Caenorhabditis elegans: one gene and its partner. The protein of the gene in region 2 interacts with the protein of the main gene of each other region in a pairwise test. Each region holds a gene or a part of one and is shown on either strand. Other genes may lie near its edges.

Evidence for each region.
Region 1: the proteins of Y51H4A.8 (region 2) and par-5 interact in a two-hybrid assay, tested with the Caenorhabditis elegans proteins (one large-scale study listed by BioGRID).

The regions. Positions count from the first base shown.
Region 1 is NC_003282.8:11,817,120-11,825,248, forward strand, and holds par-5 (14-3-3-like protein 1), read right to left. Parts: upstream 4,799-8,129; 5' UTR 4,779-4,798; coding exon 4,689-4,778; intron 4,641-4,688; coding exon 4,470-4,640; intron 4,405-4,469; coding exon 4,213-4,404; intron 4,166-4,212; coding exon 3,872-4,165; intron 3,770-3,871; 3' UTR 3,706-3,769; intron 3,662-3,705; 3' UTR 3,387-3,661; downstream 1-3,386. Other genes in the region: M117.1 (Major facilitator superfamily (MFS) profile domain-containing protein), read left to right, coding at 732-1,091, 1,140-1,448, 1,670-1,944, 1,995-2,101, 2,154-2,317; M117.3 (14-3-3 domain-containing protein), read left to right, coding at 6,397-6,483, 6,529-6,819. UniProt on the Caenorhabditis elegans protein: Required to modulate lifespan, in concert with hcf-1, acting redundantly with 14-3-3-like protein ftt-2.
Region 2 is NC_003282.8:16,574,736-16,583,030, forward strand, and holds Y51H4A.8 (DUF4136 domain-containing protein), read right to left. Parts: upstream 3,815-8,295; 5' UTR 3,781-3,814; coding exon 3,571-3,780; intron 3,475-3,570; exon of another isoform or gene 3,454-3,474; intron 3,268-3,453; exon of another isoform or gene 3,246-3,267; intron 3,023-3,245; exon of another isoform or gene 2,999-3,022; intron 2,776-2,998; exon of another isoform or gene 2,754-2,775; intron 2,653-2,753; exon of another isoform or gene 2,571-2,652; intron 1,038-2,570; exon of another isoform or gene 1,017-1,037; intron 894-1,016; exon of another isoform or gene 873-893; intron 764-872; coding exon 413-763; 3' UTR 359-412; downstream 1-358.

The DNA.
Region 1 (8,129 bases), 4.8 Mb from region 2:
AGACATTAGTAGAAACGGGGAAGAAAAATGAAAGAAAAATGGACCACAAAAAAGATATGATGGATTGAAATCGGGGCAGTGCCTTTCGATAGAAAGGTCAGTTGCTCTTAGAAAGTTTTGCAAGTGGGGGAAGAGAGGTCACGATAGATCAAGAGCTATTTTTGATTAGGTCAAGTCTTGCAACAGTTGCTCTGAGATTAAAGTTCTATACTTTTACGTTCTAGAAAATCCGCGCGGAGTATTTTTTTCGAACAATTTAAAGACGATGTTTTTAGGTGAACTTTGGTTTAAAAACGCAGGGCTTCCATGTAGGCGCCAAAACGCCTTCCTGACGGACGTTAAGGCGACCTCCGACTGCTTACCGCCTTTACCCATGTCTTCTACTAGAACACATCTTAACTTTTTCTTCATGCCGGCTTGAGGCAAGCCATGGAAGCCCTATATAAACGTAGTAGTACACTTTACAAGTTATTCAAAATCTGTGTCAACGTCGCAATATGCTGATCGAAATGTGCCTTGCCGTATAGCAACTTTTGGAGAATTTTAGAGAAACTTACATTTAGTCTTGAAATTTGTCAAATTATTCATCAGTGTTTTTCTAAATTTACATGAAAAGTTTCACTCAAAAATGGTCCGCATAACTCTGGTTCTTAGACATTAAATCAGGTCTTCTAGCCCATAAAACTCAGGCGTAACATTTTTGAACCTTAGCATCAACAATAAATTTTCAGATCTACATCTACACATTAGAAGAGAAGTCCAGTCTGATCTCAGCGATGGCAATTGGTTCACTCATTGGAATGTATCCTCAGAATGTGCTAATGCAAAAATATGGACCCCGTCTTGTCCTCACATTTGCCAGTTTGCTCTGTGCCGTCGTCACTGCCTTCATGCCATGGGCTCTTGACACGAACTACCATGTAGCACTTGTATTCAGGATATTCCAAGGAATCCTCTACTCTGCTGACTTTGGAGTTGTCGGATACGTGTGCTCAAAGTGGTCGCCTATCAAAGAAGTAGGAATGTCACTGGCTGCGTTGAGTGGATTCACTGCGGCAAGAGCTGTAATTCAGTTGCCACTGGCAGGATGGGTAGGTTATTGCACTGAGACGGTATATTTAAAATTCATAATATTTCAGACAACATCAAATGTTGGCTGGCGACCTATCTATTATATTCTCTCAATAATTCTCTTCATCTCAACAATCATCTGGTTCTTGTTCTATCGTGACGATCCGGAAGATCATTGCCTAATGACACATCACGAGCTTCAACACATTGGTGGAGGAACCAAGAGAGATAAGACAAAAAAGACTCCGTATCGAGAAGTTCTCACCGACAAGTCAGTTTGGGCCGTGTGGGTTGCCGGGTTCGCCGATATTTTTGCCAGTTTTGTATTTCTTGTATATGGTGCACAATACTATCAATACCTCGGAATGGATATTCAGGTAAATTTGTGTTCAGGCACGTCGGGGCAAACTTAATTTTCCACATCCAATGAACAATTCTATGACATTTGGTACCTGTAGCGACTACAATGGTTGAGAGCGTGGCGAGACCCACTGAGAAAAACAGCGTGTGCCTTTAAAGTGCCATGTCAAAATTTCACGAAATTGCAATAAAGACCGATATTGCACCGATATTTGCCCTCAATTTTGTGAATTTCCAGGCTAATGCATGGCTGAATTCCATGAAAGGTTATCTATTCATCGGTGTTCGAGTATTCGCCGGTATCGCGTCCGATCGTATTCGTACACTGCCGGAAAAGTCAAAGTTGCGGTTATTCAACACGATCTCATTGCAAGTACCCGCGTTTTTTCTCATGCTCGTAGTCTTGCTGCCACGCGAGCATCCATATCTACACGTCATCTGCATCACTTTCTATCAGGCTTCATTCGGGTTCAATTGTGGAGGATTCTATAAGGGCGCCGCTTTGATATCAAGGTAAGGCGATTTAAAAATTAATTTGAAATTTCAAGAATGAACATTTTCAGACAATTCTCTTACTTTGTCATCGGGTATATTCAATTGTTCAAATCGTTAGCAACACTGCTCGAACCTGTTCTTTTTTCTCTTCTTGTGCTTCCGGGAAGTGAAGATTGTAAGTATCAATTCATTCTCTTTCTAAACTAAACCTTTTTCAACACTTTCAGCTGAACTCTCATGGACCAGCTACTTCCTGATCCATGCTTTAACACTTACAGTAGCCAACACAGTCTATGTTCTCCTAGCTCGTTCAGAACCAGCCGACTTTGTGTTGAACGCTGAATTAGAGCTCAGCAAGCCTCAGCTTCCCTGCGAAACTTCAATCAATTAATTATTTAATAAATTATTCATATCAGTGTTCACATAATTGAAAAGAAAAGACGATTACCAGCTTATCCGGGTGTTCACTCAAATATGGATCTCGAATAAGACACGTGGTGTCAGGTTGCCCCATAACGGTATGATCTACAAAAATGCGGATAACTTTTTCTCAGAAAAATGTGACGTCAGTCTACGTCTCAACTCCCGCATATTTCGAAGTTCAAACCGACATGGGACATTCTGACACCACGTGATAATACTCATAAATAGTACTTTTTTGAACTTTGGGTTATTGAATTTAACTTATACGGAAAATAAAATGTAATTGCAATTGACATCTTTTTTCAACATGGGGCAACTGCGCAGTCCATAAAAATAGTCATTACATTTTAAAGATTTTAAATTGATTAAACAACGTGACATGTTTTTTCATCCACAACGCTGAAAATTGTTGGCTCAAAAGCTCGAAATCTGCCGAAAAGCACAAAACACATCCATCGTTATTCCGTATGATCACATACAATCGGCCACTTTGAAGATATATTGAAGAAAAATGTATTTCCAAATGTTTCTCAATCGGTCTCGTCATGATCTGTGAAAACACATGAAGTCTCCAGAATTAAGTTTTTTTCCGAAAATTATATTGCCCAGGAGCGAAATTTTGAGCTTTTTGCGCCAAAAGTACGGTACTTAGTCTCGACACGTCTAATATTTGTTGAACGCAAAAAGGTGTGAGTCTTTAAAGAGTACTGTAATTTTAAACTTCTATTGCTGCGGAATTTTTATCGATGTTTCATAGTTTTTCGACAAAGAATATATTTATTTTCAAAAGAACACTCAAATGTTACCATAAAACACTTAATTTTTAACGAATCGTGGAAGAAACTATCAAAAAATTTTCGGCAGCTTAAAGGCGCACACTTTTTCACATTTCATTTAATTTTTCGTGTTGAGACCTTCTAAGAGGTTAATGCAAATGTTTTATCCTATTTATGCTCCTTCATCGAAATCTGAAAATAAATTCCATTCCATTACTCGAAAAACTCCTGGAAAGTTGTGATGAAATTCGGACAACCGGAAAAGTTCACCAAACATTTATGTTCAAAAAGATCTAAAAATAAAGATCGGGGATAATAAGAGAAAAATGGAAGATGGGGGTTCATTATACTTTACAGCACATAATAATCATAGAACAATACGCCATTTTAGGAATGACAATAGTGACGGAGTGAATTACAGCGAAATAGAGCATGAAGAGAATTATGGCTTGGAGATCTAGAGCACTTGAAGACCGAATTTTCTTTCATGATGCTATTGCGCAGTGTTGTATGGAGTATTGGTGAATACGTTAAGTCTAAAACAAAAACGGTGATTAGGCAACTCTCTCGGCTAACGTACCGGAAATGTTGGAGGATAACTGAAAGTTGAAGAGATGCGAGGAAAGAGAACGGAGTTCAGCTCTCTGAAAACCGAAACTATTTTTTCGAAGCAAGATTTGATGTGAAAGGAAAAGAGGAAAAAGGTCAGCTTTATATAATGGCAATAAAACATTTTGAAATCGTACTTAGTTTCCAGCTTCCTGGTTTCCCTCCTGCTCTTGATCTTCAGCTCCAACGTCAGATGTCCAGAGAGTGAGATTGTCACGTAGAAGTTGCATGATCAAGGTCGAGTCCTTGTACGAATCCTCGTTCAACGTGTCGAGCTCAGCAATAGCATCATCGAAAGCCTGTTTCGCGAGTTGGCAAGCGTGCTCTGGAGTGTTCAAGATCTCGTAGTAGAAGACAGAGAAGTTGAGGGCAAGTCCAAGGCGAATTGGGTGGGTTGGCTGCATCTTGTCCTTAGCGATATCAAGAGCCTCCTGAAAGTCATGCCATTTACATCAAGAATTTAGTTATTTTCAAATACCTGGTAAGCCTTCTGGGACTTCTCAACAACGGCAGCGCGATCCTCTGAAGCGACCTCGGCGAGGTATCTGTAGTAATCTCCTTTCATCTTGAGATAGAAGACCTTCGACTCAGCAGCTCCAGCCTTGACAATGAGGAACTCGTCGAGGAGCTTGAGCACATCTTGGCAGATGTCGTTGAGTTCTTGCTCAACCTGAAATAATGTAAATAAGTTACTAAAATTCTTGAAATTAATAAAATCTTGCTTGGTGTAGTTACCTTGACGCGGTATTCCTTGGCGAGTTGTTGCTTCTTCTCGGATCCCTCGGTCTTTTGCTCAATGGAAGAGATAACTCTCCACGATGAACGGCGAGCTCCGACGACGTTTTTGTAGGCAACAGAGAGAAGGTTACGCTCTTCGTTGGAAAGCTCCTGTCCCTGCTCGGTCACCTGAAAAATAGTAAATTTGAAACCTCCGTAAATGATGTTTTATCTTACTTTCTTCATGGCGGCAGCCATATCATCGTATCGCTCGGCTTGTTCGGCAAGCTTGGCGCGTTGAACGAGCTCTTCCACGGTATCGGACATTTTTTCAGTGAGCAAGTCTTCTGAAACAAAATTTATAATGAAATATTGAGAACGAAAAGAGAAGAACATAGGCGAGAGTAATAATCGAAACGGAGAGCCCTAGAACATTCGAAACAGCCCGCACGACGTTTGAAAGAAGAAAAATCGATGGACAGCAGTGCCGGCCGATGAGAGAGCGCGTGCCGCCGCCGTCGCATGACAACAACTAAAGTGGGCAACGCACACTCACTCAATTTGTGTCTGTCCGTCTTTTTCTCTGGCGCACACATTCGCTCCTCATATATAGCATTGTCTACACAAAAAATTTCAGATTTTTTGGGCATTTGATAAGAAAACACGGGAATAGAAGGATGAATGGCAGTGGTGACAACGGGCGCAGCAAGCACACTAATCTTTCGGTGAGCACGTTACACAAAACTCAGGAGGTTTCGTCAGGACTTTTACCTGAACAACGCAAAAAAATAATTTTCGAGAATTGCTAAATCGTGTTGGTGGGGATTAGGATATAATTAAAGAAAAAATCACTATTTTGGGCCAACATTTGAAAATCGAGGAAGAAATCAGAGGAAATGATAGCTTTTAGACAGAAAATTGAGGGCAAGAGGAGCATAAAAGCGAGAAGGATAATTTTACAAAAAAAAATTGTGATGAAATGAGCATTGAATCGTTGAATTCTAGAAGAAACCAGCAACAAATTCGCGGAAATTCCGCGGTTCGAATACGTTTTTTCGCGGGGCTTCTTTTTTCGCGGCGAAATATCGCGCAGAGGGAATAGCTTGCGCCTTTAAAGAAAATGGCGGTTCATTCGAAAAAAAAAGGCTCTGCGTGTTAAAACATGTTATGAAACGACAGAAATTTCTTTTTTTCTAGAAACATGAAATTGGAGAACAGTAATCGGTTGGAAGTTCTCCGACCGCCGTCGTTCAAAGCATTATCAGTGTAACAGTGAATGCAGTTTAAATTGATAAGTTTTCCATGGAGAATCGAAAAAATTGGTTGCAAAATATATTCTTTTTACAAAGAAGATTGTAAGCAATTTTTAAAAATTTTTGAAAAACGTTTAAACGAAAAATGCATATAATATACGGTTGAATGAAGAAAAAGAAAAGATCGAGCAGCGAAATGAGCGAATCTTTGGGTTTCTACATGAAATCTGACGGAAAATGAATATTTAAATGAATCTACACAAAAAGCGTGCACTGTTCAGCGGAGCATTATTGCGCGGGAACATTTAACGTTTCGAAAATGCCTCGAGTTCGCAAATGAACATCGCGATTTCAAGCTGAAATATTTATAAAATCGGGGAAGGTTTTTTTTAAAATTTGTTGACATCGGGGGATTGGCCACGCCCATAGAACCGTGCGGAGGTTGCAAAATTTGATCGTGGGCGTGGCCCGTCCCACAGATTGGGTTCCCCCGATCCGAATCCCTCGCCGCCGTTAATCGTCCGATTCGTCTGGTCTCAAGAATAGTAGTATTTGAATTGCCGCGAAACCGTACTCCACGCCACTATTCATCAAACTATATCAAACTATATATCAAACTATTTTTGAACTGCCCCGCCTGTTTGGCTTGAGACTATGCGCTAAATGATGAAACTAAGGCTCTCTTCGGTGGCATGGTCGCCGACCATTTTAGGTATCTGGTCCAATACGACGATATCAACAGAGAAGAGCATGCACACAAGTCGCGAATCGCTTATCAGGTATTTGAATAACTAAATTCTTGATGTAAATGAAATGACTTTCAGGAGGCTCTTGGTATCGCTAAGGACAAGATGCAGCCAACTCACCCAATTCGCCTTGGACTTGCCCTCAATGCAAGCGCCTTAAACTTCGATGTCCTGAATCTTCCCAAAGAAGCCAACGAAATTGCACAGAGTGCTCTTGATAGTGCTCATCGCGAATTGGAGAAGATGAAGAGCTCACTGGATTCGTACGATATCTCGAACTTGAAACGTGCTCGTACACTTTACGATCTATTGAAGAGTACTCACGAGCAGCGTGTCGACGGAAAAGAAGGAGAAGAGGCTGATAATTGAAATTTTTCTGGATATTCAATTTTTTTTCGCAGTGAAAAAACATGTTTCTTATGATTTTTTCTTGAGAAAACAAGGGAATATGCTGAAACGCATTCATTTTTTGAAGTAGGAGCGAGTGATGGTGGTAATGAGGGTGGAGAGGACTTGAAGTCCAGGTCGTCTTCTTCGGTGGGTGGCGTCGGTTCGGGGCAAACCCTCATTTACTAGCGTGCTCCTTCACTTGAACGCTCAATCCCTAACGATGGCTCAATCCCTTTGATGCTCAGCATCATTATTGCTTATATTTTAAAAAAATACAGTTAGTCTGTCCGGACTCCGGAGTTTGTAGTGTATGCAGGCTTTGTAGTGTGCAAAGTTTTGGATTATCATTTACTATATATACAAAGCGCTTATTCCGTTTGTTCATAGTTTGTATGTAGTCTTTATAGTCTGCGAAGTTTTAGCTTCTGGAGGGATTGTGAGTTGGGGTTAGTGTACAGATATAATCGGAGTACTGTAGTATTACAATAGTGATACGGTAGGAGTACTGTATGATTACGGTAGTTTCAGAAAAATTACTTTTCAGCTCCAGAAGTCGGGGGCCGCGCCGGAGGTGCGGTCCACGGTTGGTAAAGGGATATTGGTTTAGGGTTAATGGAGTGACATGGTCGGGGTGCTGTAGTAGTACTGTAGAGGTACTGTAGAGGTACTGTAGGAGTACTGTAGGATTACTGTAGATTTTATACTGTAGACACATCGTGGTGAGACCTTCTGGCGAAAAATTCAAATTTCCTGAGAATAATTTTGGCGGGAAGTTTAAATTTTCTGAAAAAGTCATTTTAGCGGGAAATTCAAATTTTCTAAAAAACATTTTGGCGGGAAATTCAACTTTTCTGAAGAATACTTTTTTGGCGGGAAACTTAAATTTTCTGAATAAAAAACATTTTGGCGGGAAATTTAAATTTTCTGAAAAAAACTTTGGATGTTCAGAACACAATTTCAGTCAAAAACCTGAGGTATAGTTGAACATGTTCCAAAATCGAGTTCACTTTGGATGCTTACATCTCCGTGGAAAAAATTTTATGGCAAAGTTGTCAACTACAAAGTTGATTATTTTAATCTGAAGTACAACTTTTTAGTTGATGGTTTTTCATCAAAAAAAATTGGTGGTCGAGATAAAGTTGTGAGAAATGCAGCAGTATTGTATATACATCCCAGAATCACTTTGAGTTATTAATTCCTCAACTGAATAGATAACTAACTTTTTCACTAAATGGTTTTCATTAGAAAATCTAAAAAAAGACATCTAAAAAAACAGTGTCATTTGCTAA
Region 2 (8,295 bases):
AAATCGGTGAAAAACACAAGAAAACAAAGCAAGTACAAAATGTCGTAAAATGCGGTGTATTGTGTGCAAACACCGATTTTTCGCATTTTTTCTCGGCCCTCGTTCGAAAAAAGTTGCAGTGATCTGGCATATCATTCAATACTGAATCAAAATAATGCACATCTTAAGTGATGTTAATGAAACAGTCAAAAATTTGAATTCTCAAAATCAGATCAACTTTTAATTTTTCGCTTTCAACGCCCATAAAAACTTTATGTTTCCCTGTTTCAAATAACGTTAAAGTATTTTCAACTTTTTCCGTATTCTATTCTGTACGGCCAGATCAAATCCCATGTTCAAACTTCAATACATGTAAAAAATTCTCGCTGTTAATATAATTTTATTTCAAATCCACAAAAAGAAAAAAAACCAATTAACCAACAGTAACAATAGGATCTGTATAAAACTGTGCTCCTCTCTTCGTCGTCAACTTGTCCGCCATCTGAGAAGCCAACATCTTCCACTGGCTCTCATAAATTGCAGAAATCGCGGTCACTTGAACGGTCAAAGGGACAACAAACGGACTTTTCGCGTATTTTCCATCGGTTCCAGCCTTCGCTGCACACTTATAGTAGACTGTGGATTGTTGTAGAACACCGTAACCCGCGGTGTCGGCGGTGCACTCGGTTACTGTAGTAAGTGTGACGTTTGGAGGCGAGAATGTGATGACTGGTGGGTTTATGTCGTTTAGGGGGATACTGTTGGCTTGCAATACGTCGTTGATCTGAATTTTTTGAATTTTTAAACTTTTTTGGTATTGTATAGTGTTTTTAGTGTTTTAGCGCTCTACTTGGTTCCATTATTATACAAGTTTTGAGCAGATAATTTTTTTTGGTTCGTATGGACAAATTTTAGCAAGCTCTCCGAAATATAATCTGGTAAATGAAATATTTGAAACAGTTTTTTTTTGATAATGGGTATAAATACTTTGTGGCTTATTTTGAAACTTAATGTTTCAGACTTATTTATCTTTAAAAAAGAATTCAAAAGATCGACAAACGAATTAATTTTATACAACCTGAAAAATGAAATATTTGAAACAGTTTTTTTTTATTGATAATGGGTATAAATATCAGGTTGTCCCATAAGTTTTTGTACTATTTTTTTTTTTGAAAAAAATTTATTTCTCTCAAGCGACAAGTAGTACTATTCACACAAGTATTCACCATTAGTGTCCACCACTTGTTGCCATTTACTAGGTAACATCATGATGCCACGGGAGAAGAAATCCGGCGAACGCGATGAGAAGAAAGTGGAGAGTTCAGTTTTGAGATGCTCTTCGTCGTCGAATTGCTTGTCGCGCATGTAGTCACTGAGAGACAAGAACAAATGGTAGTCGGTTGGTGCAAGATCTGGAGAATATGGTGGATGCGGTAAAACAGTCCAACCAAGATCTTGCAGCTTTTGGAAAGTCTTCTTGGCGACATGAGGCATAGCATTATCGTGAAGAAAATATAGTTTTTCATATTTTCCGTTGGTCTTTTCTGCAACTCGGTCCAATTGGGCACAATAGTAATCAGCAGTGATAGTTTTATTAGTTGGCAACAATTCCCAGTGCACGGGTCCTTGAACACCCCACCAGACACAGATCATTATCTTTTTTGGGTGAAGATCAGGCTTTGGCGTCGGTATTCCTTTCTCACCGATCGGAAGCCATTGACGTTTTCTGGAATGGTTAACATAGAGCACCCACTTCTCATCTCCAGTAACCAGATTGTTCAGCCAATCGAACTTTCGACGAAAAGTTAGAAGTTGAGTACAAACGTTGACCCGAGTGAGCTTCTGTGATGCCGAAAGTTCATGAGGCACCCAAATTCCAAGTTTTGAAGTAAAACCAAGGCGACCCAAGTGACGTGCAATTGTGCTATGACAACACTCAAGCTTCTCTTCCATTTCACGAAGACTAAGACGAGGCTCTTCCTCCACCAGCTTCACTAGGTCTTCTTCATTTAACTCTACCGGTCGCCCAGAACGTTCTATTTCTTCGAGACTGAAGTCGCCGTTCTTGAACTTTTGAAACCAACTCTTTGCTGTATTATAAGAGAGTGCTCCCTCACCCATCGCACCGCATATGTTTCGTTCCGCTTTCATTGCTGAATGACCAAGACGAAATTCATAAAGAAGAAGCAATCTAACGTCTCGACGTTCAAGTTTGATGATTGTCATCGTGGCAAAGTAGAAATGGATGAAATGAATCTTTTCTGGAAGGGGACGACCCGACCTTGACACGACCTACGATGAAAAAATTTTAAAACTTTCTAGAAGTTTTGGAAAAATATTTGAAAAAAAGTACAAAAACTTATGGGACAACCTGATACTTTGTGGTTTATTTCAAAAATTAATGTTTCAGATTGTTATCTCTAAAAAAAATAATTCAAAAGTGATAACAAAATAGATTTAGTGGTAGGTAGACACATCTCTAGGCTCTTCTCTTTCAGCATACTTTTTTCAGTCATTTCTCCGCTCAAAATGTGCGAACAACACAGCCATTTGCGGTAACGAAAACACCCCAACCAGCTCTCCGAAACCGGGCTGCGATGTCCGAGCGGTTAAGGAGTTGGACTTGAAATCCAATGGGCATTGCCCGCGTAGGTTCAAATCCTGCTCGCAGCGAATACTTTTTGGAAAATATTCCGAATTAAATCTACAGGCTTTTAAATAAATTTTTTAACTCATTGACCGCGCACCTAGTATGTCGCTTTTGAGTGATTTATCAGTTTCTAGGAGAGAACAGAATTATTTCGATTATTTGCAATTGGCTATATCAGTATAGTGAAACAGTGAGAATTTTTTGTGTTAACACAATGAAAATAGAAAGATTGTAATATAATCATGCATTTGTACTATAGAATATAACATGTTTCTACAAAATAAATTTTCAATAAAACGTAAAAATTTTATTTGTAAAAAAGTATGTTTTATAATATTCTTATTAGCTCACTGTTATCTTACTAGGGAGTGTTTCAACTCTACGGTGCCTAAAAAGTTATTATTATTGTTTTCGTCAAAAAAAAAATTGCCTCCGAATTTTATGGCCCACTTATGGGTTTTTTTTCAATTATTGTAGAGATTGGAATATGCTATACTTTTCTTTAAAAGTGGCAAAAACGTAGTAATTGGCACTTTTCGAAAAAAAAAAGAAAATTTCAATAAAATTTTTAATGTTTCAAAAGTATTTCATTAAACTTTTTATGAATCGCTTTTTATTGAATAGGCTGGCTTGATGGAAATTAAGAAAATATATGGCTTTTCATCAAAACTAGACTAGAATTTATAAAGCTTCTGAGAATTTCAAATTTTTTTCAAATAATAATGCAACCGTTAAACATTATGCGATGTGTTGCCATTTCACATTCTTTTATAAATTTGGCAAAATTATCCACCACCATAGTTGGACATTTAATAATTGGACTTTTAATAAATGCAATTATACGAACTCCAAAGAAAACTGTAGCTGTTCATAAAAATTTTGTGAAACAGTAGAAATTTTTTCTGTATTGGGATTTTTATTTAAAATTGCATTTAACTCACCGCACTCTGCACATCCGACACCACAACTCGCTGAGCATAGGCTTGATCAAACTGTCCGTTTTCAAATTCTGCTAGAGAATCATAGGTGTATAGAGCAGGAGGGTTCATTTCATAGCTGAATGTTCCCTTGGAGCCCAGCGTTCCGGTACCCGGAGCACAGGCTCCGGCTGTGGAGATGAAAAAGCAGAGGAGCAGTAGAATTTTAAGCATTTTGAAGGTTCAAATCACAAAAGTTAAAAGTGAAGTTTAAACCTTACCTCAATCCTTTTTTATACCGTTTCCTTAACCTTTGCCCCACAATAGCTTATGTTTGTTTCGATTTGCCAAAAATGTTTATATTTGTCATAGTTATGGCATCATTTTATTACTGATTGTTAACACTTTTTCTTGTGGGTGGGTGTGCCAACAGTAAGAATAGGTAAAGCATACTAAGCGGGGGTAAAAGGGAACTCGTAAAAATTTGAAACCCAAAGATCGAAAAATTGTCAAACAGCCGTTACTAAAATTTGTTTGAAGGCTGAAACTGAATTTTTTTTTTGTTGCAAATTTTGAAGATTTTGTTCCTGGATTCGATTTGAAAACTTTAAATACAATGAAAATCCAAAAATAGGTGGAGCCTATTATTGATTATACTTTTATCGGAAGCTTCTGGTTTAATTTTAAATTGTTTTACACGTTTGAAAGCGGATCACTATCAGAAATAGATCAAAATGTGATGAAAAGTTTTATACGCACGCGGTGAAACGGTAAATTTCGAAATTCAGATTTTTCGATTTCTTATCAATTTTTAAAGTCATTGATGGAGGAGTAGCGCCAGTGGGGATATCATTTAAAAAAACACTCCAAAAAACTCAAATTTTTTACAACTTCCAGTCAAAGTTTTGGCAAAAAAAATTGTAGGAAGTTTTTTTTTGATCGACTTATAAAATTATGAGTGGCAAAATTTGAGTAATAGTCACTTTTTACAGTGAATTTTTAAAAATCCAATTTTTTTTCAAAAAGTTTTACCTTTAAAAAAATGTAGATGCTTTCTTTTAAACCATTGTGTTACTATTAGATTTTTTTCCTATAACAAGACAGTTTTCTGTAAAAACCACCATAGTCACTATTCCAACTTAAGAGGTTTTGCTTACATTTGACTACTTCTGGCAGATATTAATTTCCTGGTTACGTTTCAATTTTTTTAATTACCAAAATACAATTTGAGCGTATGAATAAAACCCAATTTACAAAGAGTATAATAAAAGCATGTTGAAACAATAAAAATTTTAGAAAATTTTTTTTTTCCGAAAAGCGCCAATTATTAAGTTTTTGCCACTTTTAAAGAAAACTATCCCTAAAATAATTGAATATTACCGTTTGAAACATAAAATTCGGAGGAAAACATTTTTTTTTCAACGATTTCCAAATAAGTGCCTAACAGAATGGTTGCCATTTTTGAAATAAAATAAACAACATTTTCAAAAAAAGTTTTGAATAGTTTTACTTTTTTTGAATTTAATGTTTTAAATTAATTGTTTTGAATCATATCATTGAAATTTTAAGATCTTTCTCATGAAAAAGTTCTGAAATAATAACTAAAATATCAGTGACGCAATATAAATATTGTGAAACATAATTTTTATAAGTACAATTTTTCTGTAGAATTGTTGTATTCCATAGTACAAATCATGATTATATTTGCCTTACAACCATTCTCGCTACATTGTGTTAACACAAAAAATTTCTGACTGTGTCACTATGCTGATATAGGCAACTGCAAATAATCTGAATGGACACGATTTAAAAATATTTTTTATTTAAAACAATTTCAAATAACTGATAAATCGATTTAACGCAATAGGTTAATGTTCGGTGCGGTCACTACTCCAACTTAAGAGATTTTGCCCAAATTTGATTATTAGGTCGTTCAATAAGTTTTTTCGTTTTTTTCTAGTTTTGGTTTTTTCTTGGATAATATTTTGCGGTTGTATAGAAGACTGTTAGTAATAACAAGCCCAACAATATCAGCCATATCGGTCAACTTCCAGATTATTTAAAACTCAGAACTATGATGACGAAAAAAAAATTTTTTTTCGAATTTTTTCATTTCTTTGTGAAATCAAAAACTTTGTATGCGTAGAGGTATAAGACAGTTAGTTAAACAAAACTAAAACATTTCAGAACCAGGCATAGCTTATTGGTAGCGCTACATCTGTTGGAAGTGTCGAAAACGCTTGCAAAATTGACTTTTTCATGTTTGAGCGGTGCTAACTTTTAAACCATGAGAGATATACAAAAGTAATGTATCACAGCATTAATGTACACATCATCAGCTACATTTTATCAGTATGTTACATTGTTGTCCCTCCTCACGTTTCTGAGTTACAGTCGATAGAAATGAGCTTGGTCCAATTTTCAAAAAACCCTAATTTTTCACGTTTTCGCCTGTAACTCCGAAATCAGGTGCCTGATTAAAAAACTTCAAATTAAAAATAAAGTGATTTTAAATTATAATCAGGTACACAGTTGACCGTTTTGTCATATCATATGTGGGCAAAGATATGAACGGTCAACAAACAAAAAATGCATGATCGAAAAAATATAGAAAAATATTGCAAAAAACTGTTTTACTCTTTCCGAAAAGAACATGAGCGTTTAAAAACACATTTAATATTTTGATTACTAATTAGGCTATCATAATCAAAAAACAGTTAGAGGTTATCTTGTAAAAAAAACTGTTGGATTTTTTTTCGATGTTTTTTTTTGAAAATTTTCTAAAATTTCCGCAACTTTTCTTTGACAATTCATATCTTTGCCCACATATGAGATATGACAAAACGGTCAACTGTGAACCCGATTATAATTTAAAATCACTTAATTTTTAATTTGAAGTTTTTAATTAGACGCCTGATTTCGGAGTTACAGGCGAAAACGTGAAAATTAGGGTTTTTTGAAAATTGGACCAAGCTCACTTCTATCAACTGTAACTCAGAAACGTGAGGAGGGACAACAATGTAACATACTGATAAAATGTAGCTGATGATGTGTACATTAATGTTGTAATACATTACTTTTGTATATCTCTCATGGTTTAAAAGTTAGCACTGCTTAAACATAAAAAAGTCAATTTTGCAAGCGTTTTAGGCACTTTAAACAGATGTAGCGCTACCAATAAGCTATGCCTGAGTCTGAAATTTTTCAGTTTTGTTTAACTAACTGTCTTATACCTCTACGCATACAAAGTATTTGATTTCACAAAGAAATGAAAAAATTCGAAAAAAAATTTTTTTTTTTCGTCATCATAGTTCTGAGTTTTAAATAATCTGGAAGTTGACCGATATGGCTGATATTGTTGGGCTTGTCATTACTAACAGTCTTCTGTACAACCGCAAAATAATATCCAAGAAAAAACCAAAACTAGAAAAAAACGAAAAAACTTATTGAACGACCTAATAATTATGCCAGATATTAATTTCCTGGTTTTGTTTCTACTCATGATACAAAATATTATCAACAAAAGATAAAGGGTACATCCAAAAATCAAAAGATCGAAATATTGCCAAACAACCGTTACAAAAATTTGTTTGAAAAGATTTTTTCACAGAACATTCGATTGGAAAACTTCAAAAACAAAGAAAGCCCAGAAAAAGGCGGAGCCTATTATCAATTTTATTTTTAAAGGAAGCTTTCAAATTAATTTTTATATGTTGCTAATGTATGCAAAAAGATCATTGACGAAATCGGAAGAAAATTTTTATACACACGCGGTCAAACAGTGAATTTCTCGACAAATTTAATCACCAATTTTCAACGTAATTAATTAATTTTTAAAAAGTTAATAACACGAAAAACACACAATTAACCAAATAAAAGTTGCATTCCAATTTTTTTTTGGTCGGAAAATGAAAAAAAAAGTGATTAAAGTTGCAGTAGCGCCAGTGAAGAAATCATTTTAAAAAACTCTGAAAAAATTCAATTTTTTCAGAACTTCCAGTCAAAGTTTTGGTAAAATGCCAAATTTTTGAAAAAATATGCGTTTTGGGGAGATCCAAAATTTTTCGACCCCCAGAAAGTATCAATACAAAATTAAGGTATGCAAAAATCGTAGGAAAATTTTTTTTGGTCGACTTCCAAATCATTATTTTTATGTAACAAGACGTCTTCTGTATATTACCAACAAAAGATAAAGAGTATAATAAAAAAATGTTGAAACATTCAGAATTCAATTGTGACGCCTTTGGTCCCAAAATGACCAAACATCATAGTGAACCTTTTAAAAAACAATATTTAACTTTTTTGCCACTTTTTGAGAAGACTTTGTGTAGTATGATCGAATCCCTATAACAGTTGAATGTAACTATTTGAAACAGCAGTAGACCACTAAATTCAAAGAATTTTTCAAATGAAAAAGTGACAAAACCTGGGTGGTGATAGAGGCTTTTCGAAACACAAATAATTAATGAAAATTTAAAAAATTTTCTAAACATTTTGAGATCTTAACGTGAGCTAATAAGAATATTATAAAACATACTTTTTTACAAATAAAATTTTTACGTTTTATTGAAAATTTATTTTGTAGAAATTTGTGTTCCATAGTACAAATGCATGATTATATTTGCCTTACAACCATTCTCGCTACATTGTGTTAACACAAAAAATTTCTGACTGTTTCACTATGCTGATATAGGCAATTGAACATAATCTGAATGTTTTTGACACGCTATAAAAATGTTTTTGACACGC